Struthio camelus: one gene and its partners. The protein of the gene in region 3 purifies or fractionates together with the protein of the main gene of each other region. This does not show direct contact. Links are inferred from orthologs where the notes say so. Each region holds a gene or a part of one and is shown on either strand. Other genes may lie near its edges. The genes, in order: BTBD2, DDB2 and COPS3.

Region 1 (7,973 bases), on a different chromosome or scaffold from region 3:
GCCCCAACGCACACACCGATCCCTGTGTCCTTTGACGAGGGCCAAACAATCTTGGAGAACGTTCTTCCTCTCCACCGCCACCCGTAAAAACAAGGACTGCTTCCGAGGGAAACCTACGGATTTGTTTTTTCCTGCTGTGCTTCTGCTGGCTGCTCAGCCAACACACCTCGGTCACACCTACCCTTCAGGGAAAACACTGCGCGACTGGAAGTCAGACCCTGCCACACGATTTGGGAAGCCTAATAAGAAACATTAAGTCAAATCTGAGGGTTTGGAGAGATTTGATGCAACAACAGCCGACCAACCCAGAAAGCAGAGTCACCCCTAAGCACGTCCACACCATTAGGACCACGTCAAAGACTAAACCACAGCTCTGGATCGCCGCGGACCCGGTGATCCCTGCTCCATCCATCCCTGCCAGACCGGGTCTCCGAGGCGTCGGAGGCCATGGTTTTGCAGAGCGGAGACGGGCCTGGCTATCACGTTACCGCTGGGGCGCGCACCCTCCGGTTAGCGGCTCGCAACAACAGATAAAACACAGAGCAAAGTTACCTGATCTCTATTTTTGCTTTCGGGAGGGGAGAGAAGCCCAACCCCTGTCAAACCCCAGCAGTAGCCGATGGCACATCACCCCCCAGAAGGCATCGGGGAGCCACAGCAATCCCCGATCCCTGTCCCGCAGCAGAGCCCGTGCCTCCCGCCAGCTCCGGCCCCCCGCTCTCTTTCGCAAGCCACGCTCCTCCTCAGCATCCAGCCAGGCCCACAGGGCCAGGAAGGCACCCGTCACCCCACGCCCGGCTGGGCCTCCCTGGGGCACCCCAAAGCATCTGCACAGTGCCTGGCTGAGGCGCCCGGAGGATGCTCCCTCCTGCCCCCCCCATAGGCTCAGATGCCTGGGTCCCAGCCCCACGGCACCCCAAAAGCCTGTACCCTCCCCACCTCCTCCTTCCCCTGGCCAGGCTCAGTTGCCTGGGTCCCTAGGCACCCTAAAGGCCTGTACCCCCCCACCTTTCCCCCCCCCCCAGCCAGGCTTGGGCACCTGAGTCCCTGGGCACCCCAAAGGCCTGTACAACCCCCTCCAGCCACCCCCAGCCAAGCTCGGATGCCTGAGTCCCTGGGCACCCCAAAGGACAGGACTCCCCCCCCCAACCAGCCTCCGACACCCGGGTCCCCAGCACCCCAAAGGCCTGTACCACCCCCCCTCCCCGGCCAGCCTCCGACACCTGGGTCCCCGGCACCCCAAAGGCCTGTACCACCCCCCCTCCCCGGCCAGCCTCCGACACCCGGGTCCCCGGCACCCCAAAGGCCTGTACCACCCCCCCTCCCTGGCCAGGCTCAGACACCCGGGTCCCCAGCACCCCAAAGGCCTGTACCACCCCCCCTCCCCGGCCAGCCTCCGACACCCGGGTCCCCGGCACCCCAAAGGCCTGTACCCCCCCCCCCGGCCAGCCTCCGACACCCGGGTCCCCGGCACCCCAAAGGCCTGTACCCCCCCTCCCCGGCCAGCCTCCGACACCCGGGTCCCCAGCACCCCAAAGGCCTGTACCCCCCCCCCGGCCAGCCTCCGACACCCGGGTCCCCGGCACCCCAAAGGCCTGTACCACCCCCCCTCCCCGGCCAGCCTCCGACACCCGGGTCCCCGGCACCCCAAAGGCCTGTACCCCCCCCCGGCCAGGCTCCGACACCCGGGTCCCCGGCACCCCAAAGGCCTGCACCCCCCCTCCCCGGCCAGCCTCCGACACCCGGGTCCCCGGCACCCCAAAGGCCTGTACCACCCCCCCTCCCCGGCCAGCCTCCGACACCCGGGTCCCCGGCACCCCAAAGGCCTGTACCACCCCCCCTCCCCGGCCAGCCTCCGACACCCGGGTCCCCGGCACCCCAAAGGCCTGCACCCCCCCTCCCCGGCCAGCCTCCGACACCCGGGTCCCCGGCACCCCAAAGGCCTGCACCCCCCCTCCCCGGCCAGCCTCCGACACCCGGGTCCCCAGCACCCCAAAGGCCTGCACCCCCCCTCCCCGGCCAGCCTCCGACACCCGGGTCCCCGGCACCCCAAAGGCCTGTACCACCCCCCCTCCCTGGCCAGGCTCAGACACCCGGGTCCCCAGCACCCCAAAGGCCTGTACCACCCCCCCTCCCCGGCCAGCCTCCGACACCCGGGTCCCCGGCACCCCAAAGGCCTGCACCCCCCCTCCCCGGCCAGCCTCCGACACCCGGGTCCCCGGCACCCCAAAGGCCTGTACCACCCCCCCCCCCGGCCAGCCTCCGACACCCGGGTCCCCGGCACCCCAAAGGCCTGCACCCCCCCTCCCGGGTCAGGCTCCGACACCCGGGTCCCCGGGCCCGCGGCCCCGCCGCAGCCCCCCCGCTGCCCGCAGCGCCCACGCGGGGCCGGGCGGGAGGCCTCCCCCGCTGCCCTGCCCGCCCCGCCGGCTCGGCCGCCGGGGCCCCCGGCGCGCGGTGCCCACCTGTGGGCCGGGATGCGCTGCGACCCGCGGCCCTTGCCCACCAGGAAGTGCACGTCGCTGAGCACCTCGTTGTTGAAGAGGAAGGCGAAGCGCTCCTGCACCGTGGGCTTCGTCGCCTGCCAGTTATAGACGGGCTCCCGCTGCAGCGCCCCGCCGGGGCCGCCCGCCCCGCCGGCCCCCCCGGCCGCCGCCGCCGCCGCCGCCGCCGCCGGGCCCCCCGCGCCGCCGCCGCCCGCCGCCGGGTTGGCGGCCCCGCACTGGTTGTAGGTGAGGCCGGGCGGCGAGGAGGGGGCGCCGTTGGTGCAGGCGGCGGCGGCGGCGCCGTTGCCCGGCGGCGGCGGCGGCGGCTGCGGGCAGGAGGAGGAGAGGCCCCCGGGGCCCCCGCCGCTCCCACCGGCCGCCATCTTGTGCGGCGGAGGCGCAGCAGCGGGCGGCGCGGGGCGGCGCTGCAGCAGCAGCAGCACCAGGAGCGGCGGCGGGCGGGACACGGCGGCGGCGGGCAGCAGGAGGGGGGCGGCGGCGATGGCGGCGGGGCGGGCGGCGCCGCGGCTGCTGCTGTGGATGCAGAGAGCCGGGCAGCAGCGGCGCATGGGGCTCGGCGCGGCGCCGCCGCCGGCCGGGCCAGGGGAGGGAGGGGAGGGGAGGGAGCGGCGGCGGCGGCGGGAGGGGAGGCGAGGGGAGGGGAGGGGAGGGGCGGCGGCGGGAGGGGAGGGGCGGCGGCGGGAGGGGCGGCGGCGGCGGCGGCAGGGGCGGTGGCGGCGGCGGCGGGAGGGGAGGGGAGGGAAGGGGCGGCGGCGGCGGCGGCGGTGGCAGCGGCGGTGGCAGCGGCGGGCGGGGCCGCACCGCACCGCCCCGCGCCGGGGGCAGCTCCGGGTGTGGGGAGGGCTGTGAGGGGCCGGGGGGCGATCGCTGAGGGGCAGGTCTGGGGGGTTGGGGGTCAGATTTGGGGGATGGGGGGGGCGATCCCGTGAGGAGCAGGTCTGGGGGGTGGGGGGCAGATTTGGGGGATGGGGGGGCGATCCCGTGAGGAGCAGGTCTGGGGGGTTGGGGGTCAGATTTGGGGGATGGGGGGGCGATCCCGTGAGGAGCAGGTCTGGGGGGTTGGGGGTCAGATTTGGGGGATGGGGGGGCGATCCCGTGAGGAGCAGGTCTGGGGGGTGGGGGTCAGATTTGGGGAATGGGGGGGGCAATCCCTGAGGAGCAGGTCTGGGGGTTGAGGGGCAGATTTGGGGGATGGGGGGGGCGATCCCGTGAGGAGCAGGTCTGGGGGGTGGGGGTCAGATTTGGGGGATGGGGGGGGCGATCCCATGAGGAGCAGGTCTGGAGGGTGGGGGGCAGATTTGGGGGATGGGGGGGCGATCCCGTGAGGGGCAGGTCTGGGGGTTGAGGGGCAGATTTGGGGGATGGGGGGGGCAATCCCTGAGGAGCAGGTCTGGGGGTTGAGGGGCAGATTTGGGGGATGGGGGGGCGATCCCGTGAGGGGCAGGTCTGGAGGCTGGGGGTCAGATTTGGGGGATGGGGGGGCGATGTCGTGAGGGGCAGGTCTGGGGACTGGGGGTCAGATTTGGGGGATGGGGGGGCAATCCCGTGAGGAGCAGGTCTGGGGGGTGGGGGGCAGATTTGGGGGATGGGGGGGCGATGTCGTGAGGAGCAGGTCTGGGGGGTGGGGGGCAGATTTGGGGGATGGGGCAGGTCTGGGGCATGAGGGGGGCAGGTCTGGGGGGTGGGAGGCAAGCCTGGAGAAGGAGAGGCAGATTTGGGGGAGTGGGGCATAGTTCTGGGCAGTGAGGGGCGCAGTCCCTGAGGGCAGATCTGGGGGTGGGGAGCAGATTGGGGGGGTGAGTGGGGCAATCCTGAGAGGGGCAGGTCTGGGGCGTGAGAGGGCAGATCTGGGGGGCGAGGGCAACACCCTCGTGAAGGGCATTTCTGGGCCAGAGGGGGCAGATGTGGGGCATGAAGGGGGGCAGTCCCGAGAGGGGCAGTTCTGGGGGATGGGGGGGCTGAGGGGGGCAGTTCTGAGGGATGAGGGGGGCAACAGCCACGAGGCAGATCCAGGGGGTAGGAGGGCAGCTACGTGAGGGGCAGGTTGGGGGGGAGCAAGGGGCAGTCCTTGAGAGGGGCAGTTCGGGGGGGGTATAGGGCCGGGGTGGGGTTGGAGGGGACATGGGGGGGGACAGTACTGAGAGGGGTGCGGGTGCAGGGGGCAATTCTGGAGCGTGAGGGCTGTGGGGCTGAGGGGGGGGCAGCTCGGGGGGGTGTGAGGGATGGGGGTGCAGGGGCAATCCTGTGGGGGAGGGAATTTTGGGGGGGTGAGGGGGCAGTTCTGGGGTTTATGAGGGGTGAATGGGGATGAGAAATTGGAGGGACCGTCCTGGGGGGTGAAGGGTGTGGGAGATGTGGGCCATGGTGTGGGGCAGTCCCAGGTGAGAGGAAACGTGAGGGGGTCTGGGGAGGAGGCAGGGGTGCAGGGGTATGTGGAGTGGGGGTGTGGGGCCAGAGGGGCAACCTGGATTGGGGTGGGCAGTTTGGGGGGCTGGGGAGGGCAGAGAGTTGGGTGCGAGGGGGGCTCCTGTGTCACCTTCCTGCTCTTACAAACCGCCTTTTCCTATAAAGCAGAGACCCAAACTTCCCTGGCATCCCAAGGACACGGCAATTGGTGCCCAGTAATTCCTCAAAATAATTAGCCCGGAGGGACTGGCTGCTTCTGCTGACGCACAGGACCTGCTTCCCCGCAAGCACAGCATTAACGCCTGCTACCGGGGAGTTTCGTGCAGGAAAGGCTGCTGCACGCAGGCCTCATCCCTCACCTGATACACGCTGCTGCCACCTCACTGTGGCTGTAGAGATCCTGCGAGATGTTGGTGCGCTCCCTTCCTCTGCCCTGCAAGATAGCTCTGCAGCAATGCATGCCGGCACACAGATAACAACAGATATTTATCTCCTTGCCAGCCAGCATGAGGTATGACATGGCACGGAGGACAGGAGGAATCTGAAAGGCAGAAAAATAATTAAGAGGCTCTGCCGTTGCCTTACTGTGATCTCAGTAACTGAACCATTAAAGCAAAGGTGATTTATTCTTCATGGGGTAATTACATTCCCCCTTTCTCTGTTATCCGCTCCCTGATCTGTGTTTGCCTCTTAGAGGTGCGTGCACGTGCGTTTGAGAGCAAATGTGCGGTCCTTGATTCAACGTGCTCAGTAACTATTGAGTAAGGAGACGTATTGTCCTCCCCTTCTGTTTTCTGCAGTTTTGCGTTATCATTTCTTTAATACACGATGGCATGCTGTTTATATCGATTCAAGGCTTAGAGACTCTTGTGTAGCTCGGGACTCTCACAGATCAATCGCTGTAGCCAGACATTGCCAGGGCCTAGCCCAGTGATACTATTACACCGTTGTTTTTGATCAAGAGCTGCCAGTCTGGTTTTGTATCATGTTCTCAAATACATATCATATGCCTGCTGCGTTACGTATAGTAGTGTTAAACAAATATACGCAGACAGGTTCTAGAGGCAAAGTAGGGGCTTAGTCTGGCAGAGGATCCTTTATGAGAGGCTTTCCAGAGTTAATAGTTCCATGGTCAAGTCTCGTGTTACAACACGAAAGGATTTTGGTACCAAAGTGCCACTTGAGAGCCCCAGCAAAGAGCAATGATCGTGTTTGCCTCTAGCCCTGCAGCAGAGCGTTTGCCCTGAGCCCTGTGACACTGGTCAGAAAAAATGATGAAAGGTTTGGATAACACTCCTTGTTGTCAAAGGCTCCAGAGGTGCAGCATGTAGCTTAACCAAAAGAAGGTTAAGGAGTGAGTTGGCTGCAATTCATTACTACCCGAGGTACAAAAACTTCAGTAGTAGCCTCTCCCTGCATCTAACAGGAGGAAATAAAAAGTTCTGCTGACTGGTTGAAGAACAGCCTAGAGGGCTGTGCTGTGTTTTGGGAGGGGGGGACAATGACTGGAGTAGGTACAGGTGTGGTGAAATCTCCCCCACTGGCAGGTTTCACTGGATTTTTTTAAAACTGTGTTGCACTTCAAATGAACTAATCTAGGAAACTCCTGCAACCTCCAGTTATGCTGGAGTTCAGAGCTGACTGTCGTAACAGTCCCCTCTGGTGTGTAGTCTGTGCATGTAGGAATGAGTAAGAGCCTTACTTTAGAGGGACGTTTTTCTTTTTCATTTGAAATCTTTCTTATGTTAATGATAACTGAGCATTAAGTGCAGAAGTGTTCTCTTTTTTAAAACTTTGTGTTTTTCATGCCGTTTGCTCAACACATCGCAGGCTCACACCCCGTTGCTGGACAGGCTGCTTCTATGCATCTTAGCATAGTACTTTTACTCTCAAAAACAATATCCACATATCTGGCAGCTGCCAGTAGGGAGGCTGTCCAGTCCCGGCTCTGTCCTCGTAGGCCATTGGATGCTTCATTCGGGCGATAAACGTTAGAGGGAGCTAAAGACTGCAGCATGCACCCCAGCGCAGGCCTGGAAGACTCGGAATTACGTTTTCTTGCACCCTGGTTGGCTTTTCTAGGGCAGATGTGCACCAGCCGGTGTGTCCCCACAGCCCTTAGGCTCCATGAAGGTCAGAAAAAGGCCTGGCCAAGGAGGCCTGGCCTGGCCTCCGCACCTAGGAGGTGCGTGAACATCCATCTGGCCACTGCTAATGGGGACAGAGGTGGAGGAGGACAAAGCCTCTCTCCTGTCATATCCCCCTTCCCAAACCCCAGCAAATCCAAGGCTGGGCCATCCTCGAGAAATGATATCTCCAAGGGGTCGGTGCATCTCACAGGGAGGGTGCCAGCTTCTCCAACATGCAAGGAGGGGATTCAGCACCTCCCCCCCACCCTGAGCCCTCTTGCTGATTTGGGGCCTGGTGAGAGATTTGGGCAGGTGATCCCTCCCCACTGACTGCATTTGGAGCTATTCAATCTGTTCAACTCTGAGCTCCAGGGCTCCTCCGCTCCTTTCTGTGCTCTACCCATCATATGGGCCATGCCGCAGCTCATTAGACAGATCCTATTTATTCACCGTGTGATGAATAAATAGAGAACAATTGATGAATAAATGAAGAACAATTCCTATTGTGCAGGTAAAACCAGGCCCAGCGTAAAGAAACACAGAAATAAGAAGGGATAATATGGATAGCACAGAAAGCCATTTAGGTCACTGTCACCTTGGCAGGGGAGCCTACAGCAAGCTCTGTGGGATGGGGCAAGGTGTTTGCTGCAACGTCCCAGGACCAAGGCGCTGTTATTCCTGGATGTGACAGCCAACAGATTTCTTCACAAATAAGGCACTCAGCAAAAGCCAGTGCTATTTTAGACTAGGTTTTGATAAGGAACTATACATAATATGATAGACACCCGAACCACAGTAATAGCTCTGGGTGGAGGAGTCAGTTTAATTCAGTTGCCGAAGGCTGACCAAATACAGGGCTGGAGGTTCTTGGTTGCACAAGAGCAAGCTACAAGCAGCTGAGGGTCATGAAATCAGTGCGGCTGGAGAGCCT
Region 2 (7,127 bases), on a different chromosome or scaffold from region 3:
ATGCCACAGGTGGTACTTCTCTCGGATAGTTTACAACCTACCCAAATACAACAAAGCTACCTAACCCCCGCCAATGACTTGGAAACGTGCAGTGGGAGGGGGTGAGCTTATAGCAGAGGGAAGGTCAGACTTGTGACCAGCAGAACACCACCACCTGAAAATTCCCCAAGCGTAGTAACACAGGAGTTCCCATGCAGTTCCTGAAACGCCTGCTCGTGAATCAGAACATTCGATCTGCTTGTGCTGTAGCCCATACAGCCTGCCTACAGCACTGCGAGTTTGGTTTTTGATAATAGACTTGCTGACGCCTCATCGCCTGAAAACCTTTCTGTTCAGCGTGAGTTTTGCTGAGAGCACAGACTGCTTCGACATTTTGTTCGTGTTCCAAGTTTTATCTTCAGGGACCTTTGCATGAAAACAGGATCCGTTCAGTCCCATGTCTGTGATCTAATCGTTCCCACAGCAATGGTCCATAACACCCCAGGGGATCTAGATGTCAAATGGCAAGGAAGCATTTCTTAAGAAACAAAAATCCTATTTTCATGTCAGGATATTAATAATAAAATAGGACCAAAACACAGACATCATCCTTCATGACGAGACAGTAAAGGAAATCTTTCTTTAATGCAACACTGTAGCCTAGAGATGCAGTGGTGTGACACTAAACTTCTTTATTCACATGCCAGCATAGCAGGCATGTGTCACACCTGCTGAAATAGATATAAAAACATCTCCATTCAAATTCCTCGTTTTCACAGAAGAGTTAGCATCTTCAGTACTTTCTTCAAAGGTGATACTAGAGGGGTATTTTTTCAGATTCAGTTTTGTTAGGAAGGATAATTTGTTAAGAAGAGAAACTTTCGGACTTTTCTGAATCCAGGGGAAGAAATGTTTTTGATTGCAAGAAACTGAATCTCTCTTATGTTACTTGGGGAAAAAAATCATGTTTTCCAAAGTACATAAAAATCAAAATTGGGACACAGAACGGAAAAGCTCAAATGCAAAAGTTTTTGTCTTCTTGTTTTTAAGAAAGGTGTAAGGGAAAAATAAGCTTGGCCTCGTTTTCCCAAAGTACTAGCCACTTCCAATTCCCTCTGAATCTTATGGGAACTGCAAAACTCACCAAATCTGAAAATCAGGCCGTGAAGTTACAGTAAAAATCTTGTAGCTAAATTAACTAAAAAAGTGTTAATTATCCACCATCATAAGCAGAACTCCTTTTAAACAGAATATTTTATCTTCATTCACTATTCACACTGTCAACTGATCTGAAGGTTGGAGTTACACATCAGAGAATGTGAATGTACAAAATGGCAGAACTCCTGTATCTCCAAATATTAAAAAAAAAAACCCTACAGTAATTTCTGGATCTTAAAAACAAAACAAAAAAAAAGGCACAGAAAGTGTATACTATTTCCACACCAGGCAATAACTCTACTGGTCTCCTAAGCAAAACGTGGAATCAAAAAAATAATGCCCGTAGAAACATGAAAACAATCGTTAGTCTAACCGAAGTCTATACAACTCTCCTGACAATGCAAAGCATGAATCTTTCCAATATCTACGAACTCAACCAGCTCCGTCTCATCATAGCAAAAACGTTTAAGAGACGTTTTCCTAAATTACATACAAGAGAAAAAAAAAAAAAAGCAGATGTGGAGAAGTGATTAGTGGAATTCTGTCCAGTCTAATATAAATACCTAAATATAGAGGTAGAAAGGATGTAGCCTTCCTGCCTACTGTAGGTAAAGTCAGAATATGCAAAGAATATGCCAGTTTAGACTGTATGCTAAACTGTAGGATACCAAGCTTACGATTATGAAACTGCATTAAGAACTACATGACAAAAACAATACATTACAGGGATCGGTCTGTCCTACAATAAAGCAGACATCTGGTAAATCAGGAATTCCACAGAACTTAATCACCCTCCCGTGAGCTGCGACAGAGACTTCAGTGAGCAGGCGTCCAGCAAGGGTAGCAACTTTCAAAAATGAAACATGCATACACATGCACGCTCATTAGACAGATAACTGGAGACTGTAATACCCCACCACGCATCTGTGTATCACTTAATCCTTAATCCTTAATATAATCCAATCCAAACGCTCGTGTTTGAACAGGCTGCAGGCTTGCTGGCATCTTCCCTCTTCAGCTAGTCGATGCCTGTCATTTAGGGTAAATCTGCCTGGCAAAACCAGCAAGAACCTGAGGAAACGTTACCTATTTTCTCTGGGGGTTTGGACGTTTTTCTCACAAACAACCTCTTTGCTTGTGGCTCGTTCTCTATTTCTTCATAGTCTTGTTTCCTTTTCCCAGCTGATTTTGCCAGTTCTGCTAGCTGATGCTCATGTGTCCTCACATGCTTCTTGTCCTTGGGCTGGTTCTCCAGAGCCATTCTGTCTGACCACTGAAAGCGAACAAAGCGTGGAAGGTAAGGCTGCCATACGCTTTTTAGCCGGAAGACAGAGGAGAAAAGGGGACTGAAACACGTCCCAGCGGTCTGGACGCAGTGACTGTACCTGCGCCCTCCTCCATCCGCCTGGCGCTGCCCTCGCGTTGCGCTCTACCGGAGCAGGTTCAATAACCTCTTCCTTGCTCGCACGTGAAAACGAACGCACCCCAGGGCACCCGAGTTGTGTTCGGGCCACAAACGCCTCCGCGGAGCTTTTAAGCTTAAAACCCACAGACCTGCGTAAAGTACCGCTGGGACACCACGTAACGCCGTAGCTGGTTTCTCCGGGAGCTCACTGAGACCTCTTGGGGGGCAGCTAAGGGGAGAGACCGGAGCTTTTACGAAGACGACGCGGCCTGCAGCGCACCGCCCGCAGCAGCGCCCAGGCCGCCGCCCCCGCCGCCCGCCGCCCGCTCCTGCACCCACCCGCCGGCGCCAGGCCTCGCCCGGCCGCTGCCTCTCACCTGGGCTCCGGCGGCCTCGGCTCCCCCGGCCGGCGGCAGCGGGCACCTCCCCGGCCGTTTCATAAGCGGGGCGGGGAAGCGGGCTAGCGGCTCTTCCGCCTCCGCGGCGGCGGTAAGCCCGCAGGCCGCCGGCGCCCCCGCCATGGCGGCCCGGCCCGGCCCCTGGCGGCGGGCCCCGGCGCACAGCCGCCGCCCGGCTCCGCGCTCGGCCGCGCCGGGGCCAAAGGTGCTGTTACGTCTGCGGCGGCCGCCTGGCAGCTTATTATTATTTTGGGGGGCACAGGTCTTCTAGCCTTACATGCTTTTTTTTTCTTTTTAATTGTTATTTTTTTAAACAGAGCGCCGCTTTGGCCTATTGCAGCAGCCTGGCAGGGGCCTGTAGCAACCCCCCCCCCCAAAAAAAAAAAAAAAAAAGATACTGCTTCAAAATACAGCTTTCTCAAGAAGACATATCTGAGGGCTGAGTTGTGTTGGGACTCAACTGCAGAAAAAAAAAAAAGGTAGGCTCTTTAAAGGTAGGTAGAGAAGTCCCAGCAGCGTGGGTTACGCAGTAATTTCTAATGCGCGGCAAGGTGACTCGGGCACTGCTGGCTCTTGTGCAACGAAGCGCGCCAGGAAGGCGAACGGCGAGCCGCGAGGCGGCGGGAGCCCCGAGCGCCACCAGCGACGGCCGCCCCGGGGCCTCGGTGGGCGCCCCCGCCGCCGGGAGCGGGGGCACCCCCTGCTTCAGGTCCACCAGCAGCTATGCCGAGTGATTAAGGTCCGGTCATCCACACAGCTGCCGTTGAACCCAGGTCCTAAAATAGCTGTCACCACTCCTTGGGTTGTTGTTGGGTGGTTGTTTTTTTTTTTTTTGCTATCTTAGAAAATGCATAGAAAAATTACCAAAAGAAACAACAGGGACCCAAACCACACGCTGGACTTTTTTTGCTGAACTATAACAACACTGTATTAGTTCCTGGCACCCTAGGACTAAGTATCAGAATAACATAGAAAAAGTCATAACCCCTGACAGACAGCACTTAATGTCTTTGAGAACATATTAACACATTTGCTAATTAGGTTGACATGTTTTATCAAGCATTTTTATAATACATAACATTGTTCTGAGAACTTACCCATTAACAAGAAATACTGTTAGTAATAATTCAAAGTAGTACTTGCCTTCAGCCCTCAGAAGCCTTGAAGGCTTGATTTCTAAGAAGGGAAATAACATGGGAAAATATCCTTCTTCTCGTAACAGTGATTAGCAGTTTCGTCCACAGGTTTGCGGAAGTCATCGGAGGAGGAGGCACAATCTGTGGAGTTCATCAGGAATCACCAATAAATTTCAAATTAAACTATGTAATTCTTAACATCTGCTTTTCAGATACTTTAAAAGGGTACGTAGCTATGTTTGTAACTGGAAAAAACAGGCCTCGATCCCAGTCGTCTTCAAGTGGATTGAAAGACATCTACTGATTTCCATGATCTATGTACTGCTCCCAAAGTAAACGCTGATCCTGTTATCCAAGTTATTTCCAGCAAAGATGTGCACTTCCTATCCCCCTTCCATTCCTCTGCCTCCAGGGTGAGCTTCCTCGGGCAGAGAACATGCATAGTAACCTAGGGATTTCCCGCTTTGAGCTGTCAATCAGGGCTGTCCTTTTTTTAATCAATTACACCAAGTTTGCTTTCCCTCTAGAGAGTCGCCAGATAGTTTTGTAATTACTATTTACTACGGACAAGAAGAGCAGATAACATATGCAGATAAAAGAAACCCCACTGACCCAGGGTTCCAGAGATAAGTATCGCTGTGCTGGTACGGTACGAAGGACACGCTGCATGCTGAGCAGTCCAGAGAAAGAGTAATTGGAAAAATGTTCTTAAATGTATTTACAGTCTCACACTCTTCAGACCCGATAGTAGTAATGTATGCAGCAAAGTCAGGCAAGTATAATTACGGGTGGGCAGGATATGAGTCTTATTTTTACGATGCCTTTTGTCTGACCTATGATTTTAGTAAAGTTCTGCCTTGGTTATGCATGGCTCTCCAACAGAGAATACAGCAGTGTCGTTACCAGGTCTGGTAAAGCTATACTGCCATTAAGACCATCAACTTGATGGTGTATGTAATAGTATTAGGTATTTTGCCTCCTTGTTGCCAGGATCTTTTTCCAAAGCATGAATGGTTTTGGCTGCTTTAGCGTGACTACTCATGTAAAGAGTACCATCACAGCAACTTGAATTTGGCCTGCATGTGGAAGCGAGCCTGTGTTCTACTAAAAAGTAGGAAAAAACCTATAATCCTCAAGAGATACAAGAGAGAGTAAGTATCATGCTCTCCGACCTCCTTCTAGCCCATGACCTTAACTAAGCTGCCAGGTAATGGGAAAACAGACAAAAAAGTCACTGTTTTAATCACCTCATTTACCTGAGCAATCCATTTTCCCAAAGCTATTCCAGCCTTAGAGGAAAGGCGTGAAGCTGCCACGTCATGCAGGACCCATGCCATTTAATCAGTGTTGGTGAAAGGGTGCAGAGGGCCAGATCCCCAAATGGAAAGCATCTATTTTAGATGCTCTGTGCATGGCTATCAATATCAAAACCAGTATGAAAATCAGCATATGAAAACACAGGATAAATGCTGGATGTAGCATATTAATCTATGACAGATTTTTTTCCTTTTTCTGCTCTTCATTAATGTACATAAAATTGATGATGGAAAGGAAATCTCGAATTAGGGAGCATCTATGCCAAACACCGTTTTTTTTTTTCAGTCGAATATGAAGTTGGTGCTTATATTTTCAGCTATGATTAACTTTTAGGATAAGTTAAAGATCTCGCGTCACTTTTTGAAAGGATACTCATTGTAACACCAACTCAGGGACTTCTTGCGGGTGCCCATCTCCCCGGGAACTCCACGCGCATTAAAAGCGAGCAAAGGATCGGGGCCAAAGCAAATTAAGCAGAATGGTTTCTAACATCTGCTTTCCAACACAGGACTTCCTCGCACGGTAGCACTCCGAAGAAGCAGGAGCACGGATGTGTGGCACGCTCTTCCTTCTGTGAGGCGCTCCGTCTTCCCTTTCTCCACCGATTGAATAAACGTCATTGTGAACTCGCTCCTTGGCGCTGTGTCCCAAGTCGCTTGGAAGCAAAGTAGGGGCAAGGGGCCAGCCAGGCCTCGCAGCTCGCCTGGCGTAAGCCCTGCCCTAGCGTCATGGCAAATCACGCCCAAGGCCGGGGTTGGAAATGGAAACTCTGGCGCGCGAGCTCCCGGCGCTCGGAAGGAGCTGGTGTCACCCGAGGGGCTGCGGGGACTTAGAGGTGAGCTGTGGATGAGGCAGAAAATGTTTTTCAGAGGAAAAGAGAGCGAGCGACCGAGCCGGGCCGGCGCGGCGGAGGCTGGCCGGGAGGGCCGGGAGCAGGGCACCGGGCGAGAGCGGCGGCGGCGGCGGGCGCGCGGGGCCAGGCCCGACGCGCCAGGGGCTGCCAGCGAGGGGCTGCTGCGCGCCCCGCGGGTCGCCGCCCGGCTGCTGTCGCCCAGTCCCTAACAGCGGCACCAAAAAGCAGAAACGCCAACCTAGAAAACCCGGAGAAGAAGCCCCCCTGCGGCGGGGGCCCCGCTCCCCCGGCCCACAGCCCCTTAATTGGATCGGGAGCTCCGGGCGGGGGCGCCGCGCCGCGTCCCGAGTGCCCGGGCCGGGCCGGGCCCGCCCCGCCGGCAGCCGCTGGCGGCGGGAGGCGGGCCGGGAGCCCCCGTGTCCCGCGGCTGAAATAGGGGGAGGGCCCGGCCCGCTCCCAGCCCAGGTGGCCGCCCGCCCGCCGCCCTGCTCCGCTCCGCGCCGTGCCGCGCCGCGAGGTAGGTGTGAGGGTCGCCCCCGCCGCCGCTTCCCGACCTGCTCGCCGCGGGGGGCCGGGGCGGGGGCAGAGCCCGGTCCGGTCCCCGCCGCCGCCTCCTCCCGGTGGGAGGCGGTGGGGCAGCTCGGCGCGGCAAACCAGCTGGCGGCTTCAAGGGAAAAGTTTCCTCACGGAAAGGGGGCGGGTGGGGGAGGCGCTGCCCGGCCGGTCGTTGCCCGCGGGGAGCGGGGCGGCGGCGGCGGCGCGGACAGCGGCTGGTAGGAGCGGCGGGGCCGGGGCCGGGCCGGGAGGGCTCCGCGGTTCGCGGCAGGTCGCGGCGGCGGGCGCCGGGTCCCCCCGCAAGCCGCCGGCAGCCGGCCCGGACT
Region 3 (7,051 bases):
ATTAAGCACCATTATAAGAAGGGTGGAGTGAAAATATTTATGTCCATAAGTAAGATGTTTTGCTGACAGTTCATCACGTTTCCTGAGGTTTTGATACTAAGAGATTTAATTAAAGGCAAATAACACTTACAAGACAGCAAGGACGCCTAATGAGTGTTCCTGCACATCCAGGGCACCAAGCACTGTATCCAGATGGGAGAGATTTTTTGCTAGCAGTTCTCCACTTTTATTGATCAGCTCACAAAGCTGGGTCATTTGCCCTGAAATATGAAACATCGTCGTCAAGCTCTAATTAGAAAACACTCAGGCATTCCCATACTTTATTACTCCTTGCTTCCCTCTATAATCTGAGGGAGGAAAAAAAAAAAAAGTAATCTTACCCAGATAAATTACTTTTTTGGAATATACTAGGCACGGTTTTCAACAAGTGAGGTGCCAACAGAATATTTTTAAAAGGAAACAGTTAAGCTTCTGGCCCTTGAGACTGTGAAGAAAACCCTAAGAGCACAAACAGAACATGAAATCCAGTATCAACTTGCCTCATCGGAGAGAGGGCTTCAGGGATCTCGTATCAAAACGAAGCTTCACTTGAGCTAAGTCACCAAGACTTTGGTCAGTTTACTGTGATTCAACATTCTGTTTCATGCAAGTGTGATCTACACTTGTGCCTTCTAGGTATTACAGGGAAAAACAATTCCAAGACTAGTATTCCCTTCCAAAAAAACTGCAACAGCAGGCCTTGTTACTTGCTGCTTCTCAAGTGCCAGATCAACCTTTTCAGGTCTGCTTATAAACTTTTTTTTTTTTTGAAATTACAACTAAATATATAGACTAGAGGGTTAAGAAAGTGTCTTTAAAATTTACTTCATATAGTTAGAACTACAGTGTTATTTTATTTGCAGGAGCTATGAATACAGCATGAAAGGCAAATATTTTGAATTAGGAAAGTATGCTATACCAAGAAACCTTACAAAGAAAGCAAAGACAGATTATCATGAACTGCTTTCAAAAATCTTTTTTTTTTTTTTCCCAAAATTACTTAAAAGCTTTCCCCTTTCTAAACCAGAATTTCTTTTCAATTTTCAATCCCTGGAAAAGAAAAGGAGAAAGAAGAAGCAGCAGAGGTTATCACACCTTTACAGAAATCATCATGAGATGAGGGTAATACTATGCGAGTAATGAAAAAAAACTTATATCCCCCCTAAAAGGGCAATCTACCTGCTCTGCTGCTATCACCTAGACTCCCCTTTAAAGTGCAAGTTTTTTATTTTTATTTTTTTATAAGTAGAAATACCCACATCGGGTCAGACAAAGGTCTATTTATCTCATCTGCCATGCAACCAAACGCTGACGACCAGAGAACAACACTGCAAGCATACGTACTTCTCCTGTACGCTCTCATAACCTCCAATAGTTCGTGCTCATGGATGTCCTGCCTTATAAGAAGTGCCTAGCTGGCTAATCCCTAATGGAAGAACTTCCATGAAGTGACCCGTTTCCTCTTGAGCAGTTAGCATCCACAAAACCTTGCAAAAAGAAGGTCCACAGCTGAACTACATATGTACAAAGAAGCACCTTTTTTTTGTTGTTTTGTTTGTTTTGTACCTGATCTTGCAGGCACGAGTTGTCGCTTGCATCTGATACCACAAGTATAAATTCTATAGACTTGATGAGTTAAAGCATAAAACAAGAGAAAAATTGAGCTCTACCCAAATATAACTACCAGAGAAAAAGCCTGGGGCCATAGAAGAAAGTATCAGTTCTTGATGACGTCCAGGGAGCAAACGTCCCATGCAGAGAAAAAACAGAAAACACGCTTTCGGGAGCATCAGTACAGCAAGAAGATTCAAGAACTAGGAAATACTGTACCCACACACAGGAAAATTAGGAGTTTGGCGATAAAACTGAGAAAGCCTAACTGAGGATATTAAAACACCTTCCAAACACTCGGCTATGAGAACTCCTATGTATAGTCTCAGGCCTATACATATCTATCATATGCTTCTATGGTAGGCCAAAAAAAAAAAAAAATCTCAGCAGTGGAGACAGAAGAGCTTTTCAGTGCCCCAAAAACAAAGGCGGTGTTTTTCTGCCCATATTCCGTTTTGCCCACCTGAAGAAGAGTACTTTAACGTACTCCTCCTGAAATGTATATGCTCAGCAGTTCGGTGACAAGATAGTGTATACCCTATCAGTTAAGGTCCCTCTTATGTCACCTCTTCCCCCTCCCCTTGATTCCAAGGCTTAGATTTTGGCAAAGCTGCCTGCATCTTCTTCAATTCACTCACCCGGGGGCTCTAACTACCCCAAAAAAAGAGACTGGTTTGCAGCTGCCCTGGGAGAGGACGCGATGAGCAAGGAGGGCACAGCCTACCCACCATGCCCTGTCAAACCGGCCCAGGCTCAACCCTCCAGGGCCCCCTCTGAAGGCGCAGTAAGGGGGCCCCAAAACTCCCGCCCGGAGGGCGAGCGAGGGCCCGGCCGGGCCCGCCCCCCCCCGCTCCTCGCAGCAGCGCTGCTCCAGGGGGCCCGCCCGCGCCCTCCGCACCTGAGGGAGGGCCGGGGGACGGGGCAGGCCGCGGGCCGCCCCCCTCCTCCCCTCGCCGCCGCTGCCGCCGCCTCCCACGGGCTCCCGGCGGCGCCGGCCAGGCCGCTCTCGGCCTCGGGGCGAGGCGGCGGGCGGCCCCGCTCCCCGCGCGGCTCCCCCCCGCGGTCACCTTGGGCCGAGAGCTGCCGGACGCTGTTGACGAACTGCTCCAGGGCCGACGCCATCTTGGCGGCTGGCGGCGCGGCCGCGCGCGCGCTGCGGGCGGGGCGGGGCGGGCGGGGGAGGGAGGGAGGGAGAGAGGGCAGGAGGGGGCGGCCCGGCCCGGGAGCGGCGGGGGAAGCGGGAAGGGGCCTGCGGCACGGGCGCTGCCGCCGCCGGCCAATCAGCCGCCGCTGCGGGAGCCGCGAGACGCCCGCCGCCGCGCGTCACTTCCGCCGCGGCCCCTGCTCTCGCGAGAGCGGCGGCCGCCCACCCCGCCCGCCGTGGTCGCCGTGGCAACCGCCGCCTTCCTCTCCCCGCCGGAAGCGCCCGCCCCGCTCCCCGGGCCCGGGAGGCCATCTTAGTGCGGGAGGCCGTGACTCAGCAGGGTTGGGAGGCGAGGCCGGTGACGTCATGATGGCGTCACCCGCCCCTGCTTGCGTCACGGTGTCAGGGCCTGCCTCCCGCCTCGGGTTCCCGGGCCGCCCCCCCCTGCTTCTCCCCAGTGCGTGACGTCATGCGGCCGTCCATGCGACGTCAGACGTGCACGCGGCCTGCAGTGACGGTCCTTCAGCTGAGGTGGGCAGCCAGGGCGACGGCCTGCCCGCTGCGAAGGGCTTTCCCGCGGGAGGTTAAGCGTCAGCCCCCGCGCGGGGCCGGCGGCGGTCACGCCGTGGCGGTGGGGCCTGCGGCGGGTGCCGCTTGCCTCCCGCCGGCTCCCGCGGGAGCCTCGACAGCACCTGCCCACGAATCCCCTCGCGTGCTGCTCTCGTGCGGTGGCGGGTTTTTACCCGCCTTCACATGGGGAGTGACTTCATAACGAGACCTGGTTCTTCGTAGCTGTGTTACCTCTCTTACAGGGGCTGAACTCAGTGGCTGCCAAGTGATCGTGTACAGTTACGTTGCCTCCTGTCGGGGAACAACGTTTGCATAGTTGGTTCCAAGGAGCAGTGCTGTTCACTCAGTTATATAATCGCAGGCATGTTTTCCATCCCTACCGGAGCCAAACTTGTCGGTACGCTGTCCTGAGCTGCTAAGGGCAGGGAATTTGTTGGGGCTGGGAGGATGTCCTTCGACACACCACAAACAAGGAAACCTTTTTCTATGGCATGAATGACGTGTATGCATTCTCTCGCTGCTTAGAAATGCCAGGTATGTTGAAATCCCGTTCTTTGCCATGAGCATGATGCATCTGGTGTGAGCGAGAGCAGAATATGGACTTGAAACATCACAGACTTTCCCTCGTAACCTCTCTGTATGTTTTACATTATGTACAACACGGCTGTCAGGAATTCTGTTCCTTTCTTTATTCAGTCTGAGACCGTCACCCAAATCACTTGATCTCTGCAGCTCATTTGCCCTCTATGTGAAACAGGGATAACATATTCCCCTGAAAAATATTCTGGAATTGAGATGAAATATTCTAGAATTGGAAAGTCCTGTTATTACTATCAACCAGTATCTCCTCTTTCCCAGCTCAGCACTTGCCTCATCTTGTTAGTCACCCTCTGCAGTCTTCTCCATCAGCTTTAATCCCCTAAATGTTTTGTTCACCACATTATTCTAACGCATGACCAAAGATCATACAAACCTTTACAGCAGGTAGTTTCTGTGACAGTCAGCCCTTAGAAATCTAATACCTTGAGTTCCTCTCTGCATAGTCCACTTATGACATGTCAACTCTTGTAGCACCATACATTATCGTCACATCTTAAGCGTTCTTCTGGGTCCTGATACCTTCTTTTAAAAGTTTCTGTCACCCATATGGGCAGAACCGCATCATATCTAATGAAAATCTGGGCAAAGTATAACTCCTCTCTGTGCATTGGTAGAAACACACATATTGTACGTTAAGGTTTAGCTGCCAAAATCATCGCATGGGTTACATATGCACATTGTGCCCCAAAACATGTACTAGCACATCAGCTCCAAAACAGGTATGGACAGACACCGCAGAGGGGAGAGCGTCTGTGGCAACAAGCAGGCAAGGGGAGATTAACGGGTGTTGCGGGGCACTGAAACACAGACACCCTGAAGGAAAGGGTCTCGCCCCATGCGAGAAGTCAGGAAACTGCGGCAGCGAAGCATTTTGGCCAAGAACATCAGCTCTGGGTCGTGCCACCTCTCGCTACGCTGCCTCCCTTTGGGACCAAGCGCCCAGAGTGGGTATCTCCCACCCGCATTGCCTCGGTGGCATGTCACCTGGACCAGGTGTGGGTGCAGCTCACCCTGGCTATGCGCGGAGGGGGCACACGCCGGGGCACGCGTGGCTGCAGCCCACCCTGGCCGCCTGGAGTGGGCGCAGAAGGGGCGCACCCCGGGGCACACGTGTGCGCAGCCCACCCTGGCTATGCACGGAGTGGGTGCACGCCAGGGCACGCGTCGGTGCAGCCCACCCTGGCTGTGCCCGGAGGGGGTGCACCCTGGGGCACGCGTGGCTGCAGCCCACCCTGGCTGTGCCCGGAGGGGGTGCACGCCAGGGCACGCGTGGCTGCAGCCCACCCTGGCTGTGCCCGGAGGGGGTGCACCCTGGGGCACGCGTGGCTGCAGCCCACCCTGGCTGTGCCCGGAGGGGGTGCACGCCGGGGCGCGCGTGGCTGCAGCCCACCCTGGCTGTGCCCTGAGCGGGTGCAGAAGGGGCGCACGCCGGAGCACGCGTGGCTGCAGCCCACCCTGGCTGTGCCCGGAGGGGGTGCACCCTGGGGCACGCGTGGCTGCAGCCCACCCTGGCTGTGCCCGGAGGGGGTGCACGCCGGGGCACGCGTGGCTGCAGCCCACCCTGGCTGTGCCCGGAGGGGGTGCACGCCGGGGCACGCGTGGCTGCAGCCCACGCTGGCTGTGCCCGGAGGGGGTGCACGCCGGGGCGCGCGTGGCTGCAGCCCACCCTGGCTGTGCCCGGAGGGGGTGCACGCCGGGGCACGCGTGGCTGCAGCCCACGCTGGCTGTGCCCGGAGGGGGTGCACGCCGGGGCACGCGTGGCTGCAGCCCACCCTGGCTGTGCCTGGAGGGGGTGCACGCCGGGGCACGCGTGGCTGCAGCCCACCCTGGCTGTGCCCTGAGCGGGTGCAGAAGGGGCGCACACTGGGGCACGCGTGGCTGCAGCCCACCCTGGCTGTGCCCGGAGGGGGTGCATGCCGGGGCACGCGTGGCTGCAGCCCACGCTGGCTGTGCCCGGAGGGGGTGCACGCCAGGGCGCGCGTGGCTGCAGCCCACCCTGGCTGTGCCCGGAGGGGGTGCATGCCGGGGCACGCGTGGCTGCAGCCCACCCTGGCTGTGCCCGGAGGGGGTGCACGCCGGGGCACGCGTGGCTGCAGCCCACCCTGGCTGTGCCCGGAGGGGGTGCACGCCGGGGCACGCGTGGCTGCAGCCCACGCTGGCTGTGCCCGGAGGGGGTGCACGCCGGGGCACGCGTGGCTGCAGCCCACGCTGGCTGTGCCCGGAGGGGGTGCACGCCGGGGCACGCGTGGCTGCAGCCCACCCTGGCTGTGCCCGGAGGGGGTGCACGCCAGGGCGCGCGTGGCTGCAGCCCACCCTGGCTGTGCCCGGAGGGGGTGCATGCCGGGGCACGCGTGGCTGCAGCCCACCCTGGCTGTGCCCGGAGGGGGTGCACGCCGGGGCACGCGTGGCTGCAGCCCACCCTGGCTGTGCCCGGAGGGGGTGCACGCCGGGGCACGCGTGGCTGCAGCCCACGCTGGCTGTGCCCGGAGGGGGTGCACGCCGGGGCACGCGTGGCTGCAGCCCACGCTGGCTGTGCCCGGAGGGGGTGCACGCCGGGGCACGCGTGGCTGCAGCCCACCCTGGCTGTGCCCGGAGGGGGTGCACGCCGGGGCACGCGTGGCTGCAGCCCACCCTGGCTGTGCCCGGAGGGGGTGCACGCCGGGGCACGCGTGGCTGCAGCCCACCCTGGCTGTGCCCGGAGGGGGTGCACGCCGGGGCACGCGTGGCTGCAGCCCACCCTGGCTGTGCCCGGAGGGGGTGCACGCCGGGGCACGCGTGGCTGCAGCCCACCCTGGCTGTGCCCGGAGGGGGTGCATGCCGGGGCACGCGTGGCTGCAGCCCACGCTGGCTGTGCCCGGAGGGGGTGCACCCTGGGGCACGCGTGGCTGCAGCCCACCCTGGCTGTGCCTGGAGGGGGTGCACGCCGGGGCACGCGTGGCTGCAGCCCACCCTGGCTGTGCCCGGAGGGGGTGCACGCCAGGGCGCGCGTGGCTGCAGCCCACCCTGGCTGTGCCCGCAGGGGGTGCACGCCGGGGCACGCGTGGCTGCAGTCCACGCTGGCTGTGCCCGGAGGGGGTGCACGCCGGG

Evidence for each region.
Region 1: the proteins of COPS3 (region 3) and BTBD2 purify together in Homo sapiens (affinity purification with mass spectrometry; 3 studies listed by BioGRID and IntAct, counting the BioPlex papers as one, with this or other methods). This does not show direct contact. The link is inferred for Struthio camelus from reciprocal best matches to the Homo sapiens genes COPS3 and BTBD2.
Region 2: the proteins of COPS3 (region 3) and DDB2 purify together in Homo sapiens (affinity purification with mass spectrometry; 7 studies listed by BioGRID and IntAct, with this or other methods). This does not show direct contact. The link is inferred for Struthio camelus from reciprocal best matches to the Homo sapiens genes COPS3 and DDB2.

What each region holds. Positions count from the first base shown.
Region 1 is NC_090967.1:3,243,076-3,251,048, forward strand, and holds the start of BTBD2 (BTB/POZ domain-containing protein 2), read right to left. Parts: upstream 3,069-7,973; 5' UTR 3,056-3,068; coding exon 2,466-3,055; intron 1-2,465.
Region 2 is NC_090946.1:39,425,671-39,432,797, forward strand, and holds the start of DDB2 (DNA damage-binding protein 2), read right to left. Parts: upstream 3,085-7,127; 5' UTR 3,064-3,084; coding exon 2,920-3,063; intron 2,772-2,919; coding exon of another isoform or gene 2,692-2,771; exon of another isoform or gene 2,523-2,691; intron 2,411-2,522; coding exon 2,224-2,410; intron 1-2,223.
Region 3 is NC_090956.1:4,026,504-4,033,554, reverse strand, and holds the start of COPS3 (COP9 signalosome complex subunit 3), read right to left. Parts: upstream 3,004-7,051; 5' UTR 2,773-3,003; coding exon 2,718-2,772; intron 261-2,717; coding exon 131-260; intron 1-130. UniProt on the Homo sapiens protein: Component of the COP9 signalosome complex (CSN), a complex involved in various cellular and developmental processes.